Linked DNA regions of Macaca mulatta. The protein of the gene in region 2 purifies or fractionates together with the protein of the main gene of each other region. This does not show direct contact. Links are inferred from orthologs where the notes say so. Each region holds a gene or a part of one and is shown on either strand. Other genes may lie near its edges.

Region 1 (4,317 bases), on a different chromosome or scaffold from region 2:
TCCTGTTCCTTAACCAGCTTTAACAGCAGAGCCCCAGCAACCTAGAAGTGCCTCACCTAGCCTCTTAATGGAGTGGGAATGGGCAGGGAATTGGAAATCAGAGGCTCAAAAAGTAAAGAAGGCTGATGGCAAGCCTGGGGAGAGGCCTGGAAACGAGGGAAGGGCTGAGGGCTGTGAGGAGTCCCCTAGCGCAGGTCTTCAGCAGTGAACATGCCCCTGGCCCTGCGCAGAATGGAGTCCTTGGCGGCGTCATATGGGTGCTCCTTGGAGGGGATCTCCAGGACAGCGGGGATGGAGTGCTGGTGGGCGTCCAGGGCATGCCGCACCATCTCTGCGATGTACTGGTTGATGAGGATGATGCCAATGTCATCCCGGTTTAGAAACTGCCTGTGGGGAGAGATGAGACGGGAGTCTAGGGCAGCTCTGGGGGCTGCCTTCTCTCCTGCCTCCAAGTTGTTGGGCTGGGCAGTGGAGGAGAATGAGTGTGACCCAGAGGGCACAGAGGACAAGGAGAAAGGCGGCCACGCTCAACCCTATGTCAACTCTACCAAGAATCAATTTCATCCCAAAGCGGAGGGTCATGCTGACTAGGGTTGGCTTCTGCAACGCTGCCTGAAACGCTTCCAAGTGAACTGGTAATGAAAATTAGGGTGCACACTGCAGTGATGGTGTCAACCCTATGTCAATATGCAGTGATGGTGTCAGAAAGGGGAAGGATAAGATTATATGTATACAGATCCTTTTTTATGTGCAGATACTGAAGGCCGGGTGCAATGGCTCATGCCTGTAATCCCAGCACTTTGGGAAGCCGAGGCGGGTGGATCGCTTGAACCCTGCAGTTTGAGACCAGAATGGGCCACATAGTGAGACTCCCATCTCTACAAAAAAAAAGAAAAAAAAATGTGTACATATATACAAAAAATTGGCTCGATGTGGCAGCATGTACCAGCTGCTTGGGAAACTGTAGTCCCAGCTACTTGGGAGGCTGAGGTGGGAGAATCACTTGAGCCTGGGAAGTCGAGGCCACAGTGAGCTGTGATCACGCCACTGCACTCCAGCCTGGGTGACAGGAGTGAGACCCTGTCTCAGAAAAAAAAAAAAAAAAAGGACACATTAACTTTTAGAAAGAAAACAAATTAATTTAAAAATAGGGCTGATGAGACCACTGAAGGCCTCAAGGTCTATGCTGATGAGGGTGGTGGAGGGGTCAGAGGGAAAGTCTGGCATGAACCAAGATCACAAGCTAGGAAGAGGACACTCTGATGAAGGAATCATACTTTCTGCCCAAAAAGAACCTGGCCTCGTGATCCTCCTCTCCTATGATCACCCACCCATTCATTCGTTTATTTTATTTTTTTGAGACAGGGTCTCCCTCTGTCACCCAGGCTGGAGTGCAGCGGCGGATCTCGGCTCACTGCAACTTCCGCCTCCCAGGTTCAAGCAGTTCTCCTTCTTCAGCCTCCTGATTTGCTGGGATTACAGGCACCCTCCACGACGCCTGGCTAATTTTTGTATTTTTAGTAGAAATGGGGTTTCACCATATTGGTCAGGCTGGTTTCGAACTCCAACCAGCCTGGCGGGTGGAACTCAGGTGATCCACCCGCCTCGGCCTCCAGAAGTGTTGGGATCACAGGCGTGAGCCACCGCGCCCAGACTCATTCATTTATTTACTGGTTAAAAATTATTTACTGAGCACCCACCCCCCACCAGTCACTGGGTTAGATTTGATCTCTGAGGTCCCTTTTGATTGGAAACATAAAAAATTCTTGAAGTAAAATTTGTCCTTCTCCCATGGTAACTTGGGTCACTTTACCAGACAGCTTAGAGATCGGCAGGTAACAGCCTACCAGGTCAGGAACTACCTAATACACCAGGCAGCAGGAACCAGTCTCAGCCGGCAGCCCTGGGCTGGACTGTTTGGGGGGAAACAGGTGAGTGGTTTATTCCTGAGACTTAGTACAGCGAACCTGAAGAAGGGGTGAGGGATAGAATAGGAGGCTGTTATCCTCAATTCAGGTCACCAGGACCCCTGGTGGATTAAAGGCATGTCTGCGCCCACACTCTGACCTAAGGCAGGGAGTGAGGGCTTGAGTGCAAGGTCTTAGCAGAAGGCTCTCACAGTCCTGACATTTTCTGCCTACTGTGCTCAAGAGCAAAGGGAAATTCCGAGGCCGACTGAGGAGAGCTGTACAGAGTGTGTACCTGGCTTACCAAAGGCAGAAAGGGTTAGGATTAGGTTCAAATTCCAGGTCTGCCTCTGCCCACTTGTAACTTTAGTGTGTGCCTTAACCTCTCCAAGCTTTAGTTTTCTCACCTGTAAGTAGGACAAAATCACCCCTGCCTTACCGGACGACGGTGAGCCTGTAAAGGAGGGGAAAGCAGAACAAAGTCCGAGCCCACTGCCTAGCCCGTCACGAGCTCTGTTCCCCTTCTTTCCTGACACACGATCATGTGAGGTGGGGAGCTCGTGGACCTGATACAGCGTCGGTGCCACCCAGCCCCAAACGGGAACTTGGGGCGCAGCGGCGGGCGGGCGGACTTTCACGACCATCCCCTAACCCCCGTCCGGGCCTCACGCCTCGGTCCCCGGGCCGCCTCCACCCTCGCCCCGCACTCCACCAGGCAGCAGAAGGGCCCGTTCAGGCCTCGCGCGCTACCGTACCGGAAAGTGTCTTCGATTTCATTGATTGTTGTATCCTTCTCCACCACCAGGAAATTGGGGTGGCGGTTCTTGTTAAGCTCCCCTATGCCGCCCAGCAGGAAACCAGTCACCGTGTCCTCGTCTCCGATGACTGCGATGAGCTTCCCCCTCCCCGCCATCCCCGCTGCCGGGCAGAGCTCACCCGAGAGCACCAAAAGCCGCCGAAGCCCCGCCTCCGCCGTACGGCTCCCCGTCGGCCCCACCCCCCTTCGGGCATGCGCAGTTCTCCGAGCCGCATTCCGGGACATGCGCATGAACAGCAACACGGCCTCCATGTGAATACGCCTGCGCCATAAAGACAGGCCCGAAGCAGGGGACTACGATTCCCAGAAGGCTGCGCGGCACCACCTCCTTCGCGGGCATTCATTCGTTCATTGACTCTTTCCTTGGTTCATTCGTTCAACAAGCGATTTGAACCTGGCGCTGTTTAAACGCCGAGATCCCAGAGAAGAGACGCAGTTACTGATCTCATCGGCAGGGTCTGGGTCTTTATCGTGTATGTGTGTACCTATGACACATATTTAACAAGTAATACGCATTTGTTCAATTAAAGGAATGCAGAAGTTAGTGATGATACTGTCTAGTGAGATGGAAAGTCAAGGGAATAGGCGACTACAGAGCTGTGTGTTAATGGTTAGAATGTGAAAAGTATATGGAAGCACACATCCATGGTAACTAACCCATGGAGAGAGGGGGCATCCAAAGAACCCTTCCCCAAGAAACTTGCTTCAGATCTAAGCTGAGACCTGAAGGACCTGCAGGATGAAGGGGATAGAAGTGAGGACAAGACGGTGTTCTAGGCAGAGGAAGAGCATATGCAAAGGCGTACTGACTAGAGAGCGTAGGGCCTTCAAGGAAAGTTAAAGAATTGGTAAGGCCAGGCATGGTGGCTCATGCCACGCCTATAATCCCAGCACTTTGGGAGTGCTTCCCTGATGGAGGAGGATTGCTTGAGCTCAGGAGTTGGAGACCAGCCTGGGCAACACAGTGAGACCCTGTCTCTGCAAAAAATTTTAAAAATTAGCCAGGTAGGCCAGGTGCGGTGGCTCACTCCTGTAATCCCAGCACTTTGGGAGGCCAAGGCAGGTGGATCACCTGAGGTCAGGAGTTTGAGACCAGCCTGGCCAACATGGCAAAAACCTGTCTCTATTAAAAATACAAAAAATTAGTTGGGCATGGTTGTGGGCACCTGTAGTCCCAGCTACTCGAGAGGCTGAGGCAGGAGAATTGCTTGAACCTGGGAAGTGGAGACTGCAGTGAGCCGAGATTGTGCCATTGCACTCCAACCTGGGCGACAGAGCGAGACTCTGTCTCAAAAAAAAAAAAAAAAAAATTAGCCAGGTGTGGTGGCGCACACTTATAGTTCCAGGTACTCGAGAGGCTGAGGCAGCAGGGCTTGCTCAGGAGTTCAAGGTTACAGTGAGCTATGATCAGGGCACTGCACTTGAGCCTGAGCAGCAGAACGAGACCCTGTCTGAAAAAAAAAAAAAAAAAAAAGGGATCTGCAGGCCAGGTACGGTGACTCACGCCTGTAATCCCAGCACTTTGGGAGGCCGAGGCAGATGGATCACCTGAGGTCAGGAGTTTGAGACCAGTCTGGCCAACATGGTGAAATC
Region 2 (3,555 bases):
AATTCTTTCAACTTTGTTGTTGTTCAGAAGATTTTCATAATCAAAATTGGAAATGAAAATACATAGTTTAGAGATATTTCTAGAGGAATTCATGATAACTCTGGTTCTTTTTTTTACAGCCATATAATAATTCCATCATATAAATGTACGATTATTTACTTAATATCTTAATGATAGAAGTTTTGGTTTCTAGTCTTTGGTTGTTATAAACAGTGCTACAGTGTAAGTATAGTAAGAATTCACAGAAGTTGGATTCCTAGGTCAAGACTTACCCATTTTGAATTTTGATAAATATTGCTAAATTGCTCTCAGGAAAAGTTGTACTGATTTTACTCCTGTCAACAAATGTGTGAGAATAAAGTGGACTCATTATGCTTATTTATATGTTTTATTCTTATTTGTATGTTTTCAAAATAACTTTATTTTTAAGATTTTAGGTTTTGTCCCAGTACTAATACCCTTATCAGGGGACTGATTCCTTAGCCGTATATGTGAAGCAATGTATTAACGAGAGGGTTTTGCTTCTATTTTTAGCCCTGTGGTTTCCAAACTTTGCAGAGGCATTCTGAGAAGCTGCAGCAAACTCATGTGGTGCCAGGATATTTAAAATTTTTGAGGCAAACACAGGAATGTTAGACATATTGTCAGACACCACATGAACTAGTAGCTTGAGATAATAAACAGTTTCATTATGTTGCTGTACTATATTTTTGTCAGTGATATCATATCTTTGCAAAGCTGAGTTTTTGGCAGTTGCTAAGCTACAAAAGCAAGTATAATGTGAAAATCAAAATGGAACAGGTTTCCAATCTGATTCCAAGATTGGAAAATTATATAGTTCCCCAAGGGCATATACATTCATAAGAATTATGGATATTTAGAACTGAAATTAATATTCTTTTTTTTTCAACTTATGCATATATTTTTCTCAAATTGCTACTCAGTTGTTAGTACATATATACATATTAGGTTATTTAGACATAACTATTTAATAAATGCAAGTGTTAGATATATCTTTTGTCCTGGGACACTGAAAAAAATTACTGAAAACACTACAAATCCTGTGAACTGAGAAAGTTTGGGAACTTCTGTTTTCACTTCTTGAGTGGCATTTCCTTGTTAAACTGTGGTATTTCCTGTTAATAGTGTCTTTAAACCTTCATAATAGGTTTTCCTTAGCTGCTGTTTTTAGCTGGTGTTTCTGTTGGAGATCCTGTACTTCGCACTGGTAAACCCCTCTCTGTAGAGCTTGGTCCTGGCATTATGGGAGCCATTTTTGATGGTATTCAAAGACCTTTGTCGGATATCAGCAGTCAGACCCAAAGCATCTACATCCCCAGAGGAGTAAATGTGTCTGCTCTTAGCAGAGATATCAAATGGGACTTTACACCTTGCAAAAACCTACGGGTATGTCTGTGTAACCAAGAATTTCTGAAGTTCTTGAAAGAATATAAAATGAATGTTTAGTAAACTACATTGTACTGTTAGTCCAAGTAAAAATAGACTACAGAAGCATAGTTTAAATTTTTTCTTAACTCTACTTTGTGGGATTTTAGAACTAATGTTTTATTGATAAGTCAGGTAAATGATTTAAATTATAGCAGCAGGGGCAAGTCTACTTGACATTTATTTGAAAATTAAACAGCAAATACATTTATCCTCTAGGTTGGTAGTCATATCACTGGCGGAGACATTTATGGAATTGTCAATGAGAACTCGCTTATCAAACACAAAATCATGTTACCCCCACGAAACAGAGGAACTGTAACTTATATTGCTCCACCTGGGAATTATGATACCTCTGTAAGTATCATTTGAACTTTATCCTGCAGAGTGGCTCTATTTTTATTATTTATTTTATTTTATTTTATTTTATTTTATTTTTTTTGAGACAGAGTCTTGCTCTGTCGCCCAGGCTGGGGTGCAGTGGCCGGATCTCAGCTCACTGCAAGCTCCGCCTCCCGGGTTTAGACCATTCTCCTGCCTCAGCCTCCCGAGTAGCTGGGACTACAGGCGCCCGCCACCTCGCCCGGCTAGTTTTTTGTATTTTTTAGTAGAGACGGGGTTTCACCGTGTTAGCCAGGATGGTCTCGATCTCCTGACCTCGTGATCCGCCCGTCTCGGCCTCCCAAAGTGCTGGGATTACAGGCTTGAGCCACCGCACCCGGCCTGTGGCTCTATTTTTATATGACAGCTGCCCAGTTTTAGTGCCCTAAGTAATTAAACAATTGATATTTAATATGTAAGTTTTGAGTAACTCCTATAATTTTTGAAGGTTTTTTTGTTTGTTTTTAACTTGGATTCAGGGATAAAAAAGCAGAACATAGTATTTCTTTTTAAAGAAATGTAACAGTTTTCTACCATCTTAACTGATGCTACATTTATTTAAAGCCCTAATTGTTTAGGCATAGAATAGACTTTGATTTTAATGGTGTATTAATATTCACATAATAATTATGTAATAGGACTGGGCGCGTAGTCTCACACCTGTAATCCCTGCACTTTGAGAGGGCGAGGCGGGCAGATCACAAGGTCAGGAGATCAAGACCACCCTGACCAATATGGTGAAACCCCGTCTCTACTAAAAATACAAAAATTAGCCAGGCGTGGTGGCGGACGCCTGTAATCCCAGCTACTCAGGAGGCTGAGGCAGGAAATTCGCTTGAACCTGGGAGGCAGAGGTTGTAGTGAGCTGAGATTGCACCATTGCACTCCAACCTGGGCAACAGAGCAAGACTCTATCTAAAAAAATAATAATAATATAATTGTTATATAATTATTATTATATATTATTATGTAATTATTATTATTATATAATCATATATATTATATAAGATTATTTGAATTATCTTTTTTCTTTTTCTTTTTTTTTTGAGACAGTGTCTTGCTGTGTTGCCCAGACTGGAGTGCAGTGGTGCAATCATAGCTCACTGCAGCCTCAACCTGCTGGGCTCAAGCAATTCTATCACCTCAGCCTCCCAAGTATCTGGGACCACAGGCACATGCCACCATGCCCGGTTAATTTTTTTTTTTTTTTTTTTTTGAGATGGACTCTTGCTCTGTCACTCTGTCACCAGGCTGGAGTACAGTGGGGTGATCTCTGCTCACTGTATCCTCCGCCTCTTGGGTTCAAGCGATTCTCCTACCTCAGCTTTCCAAGTAGGTGGGATTACAGGTGTCTGCCACCACACTCGGCTAATTTTTGTTTTTTTAGTAGAGATGGGGTTTCATCATGTTGGCCAGGATGGTCTTGATCTCCTGACCTCGTGATCTGCCCACCTCAGTCTCCCAAATTGCTGAGATTACAGGCGTGAGCCACCGTGCCCAGCCTAATTTAAAAAAATTTTTTTTAGGGACAGGATCTCATTCTGTTGCCCAGGCTGGTCTTGAACTTCTGTACTCAAGTGATCCTCCTGCCTTGGCCTCCCAAAAGTGCTGGGATCACAGGCGTAAGCTGTAATCCATGCCTGGCACTGGATTAAAACTTAGACCTTTAATGTTATTTACAGTCACATAATACACATTAGGCTCGTAATCTTTATGGGTATGAAGATA

The links.
Region 1: the proteins of ATP6V1A (region 2) and ATP6V1F fractionate together in Homo sapiens (co-fractionation; 3 studies listed by BioGRID and IntAct, with this or other methods). This does not show direct contact. The link is inferred for Macaca mulatta from reciprocal best matches to the Homo sapiens genes ATP6V1A and ATP6V1F.

The regions. Positions count from the first base shown.
Region 1 is NC_133408.1:168,496,821-168,501,137, reverse strand, and holds the start of ATP6V1F (V-type proton ATPase subunit F), read right to left. Parts: upstream 2,854-4,317; 5' UTR 2,821-2,853; coding exon 2,663-2,820; intron 633-2,662; coding exon 549-632; intron 388-548; coding exon 186-387; 3' UTR 1-185. UniProt on the Homo sapiens protein: Subunit of the V1 complex of vacuolar(H+)-ATPase (V-ATPase), a multisubunit enzyme composed of a peripheral complex (V1) that hydrolyzes ATP and a membrane integral complex (V0) that translocates protons.
Region 2 is NC_133407.1:169,942,287-169,945,841, reverse strand, and holds part of ATP6V1A (V-type proton ATPase catalytic subunit A), read left to right. Parts: intron 1-1,192; coding exon 1,193-1,407; intron 1,408-1,665; coding exon 1,666-1,803; intron 1,804-3,555. UniProt on the Homo sapiens protein: Catalytic subunit of the V1 complex of vacuolar(H+)-ATPase (V-ATPase), a multisubunit enzyme composed of a peripheral complex (V1) that hydrolyzes ATP and a membrane integral complex (V0) that translocates protons.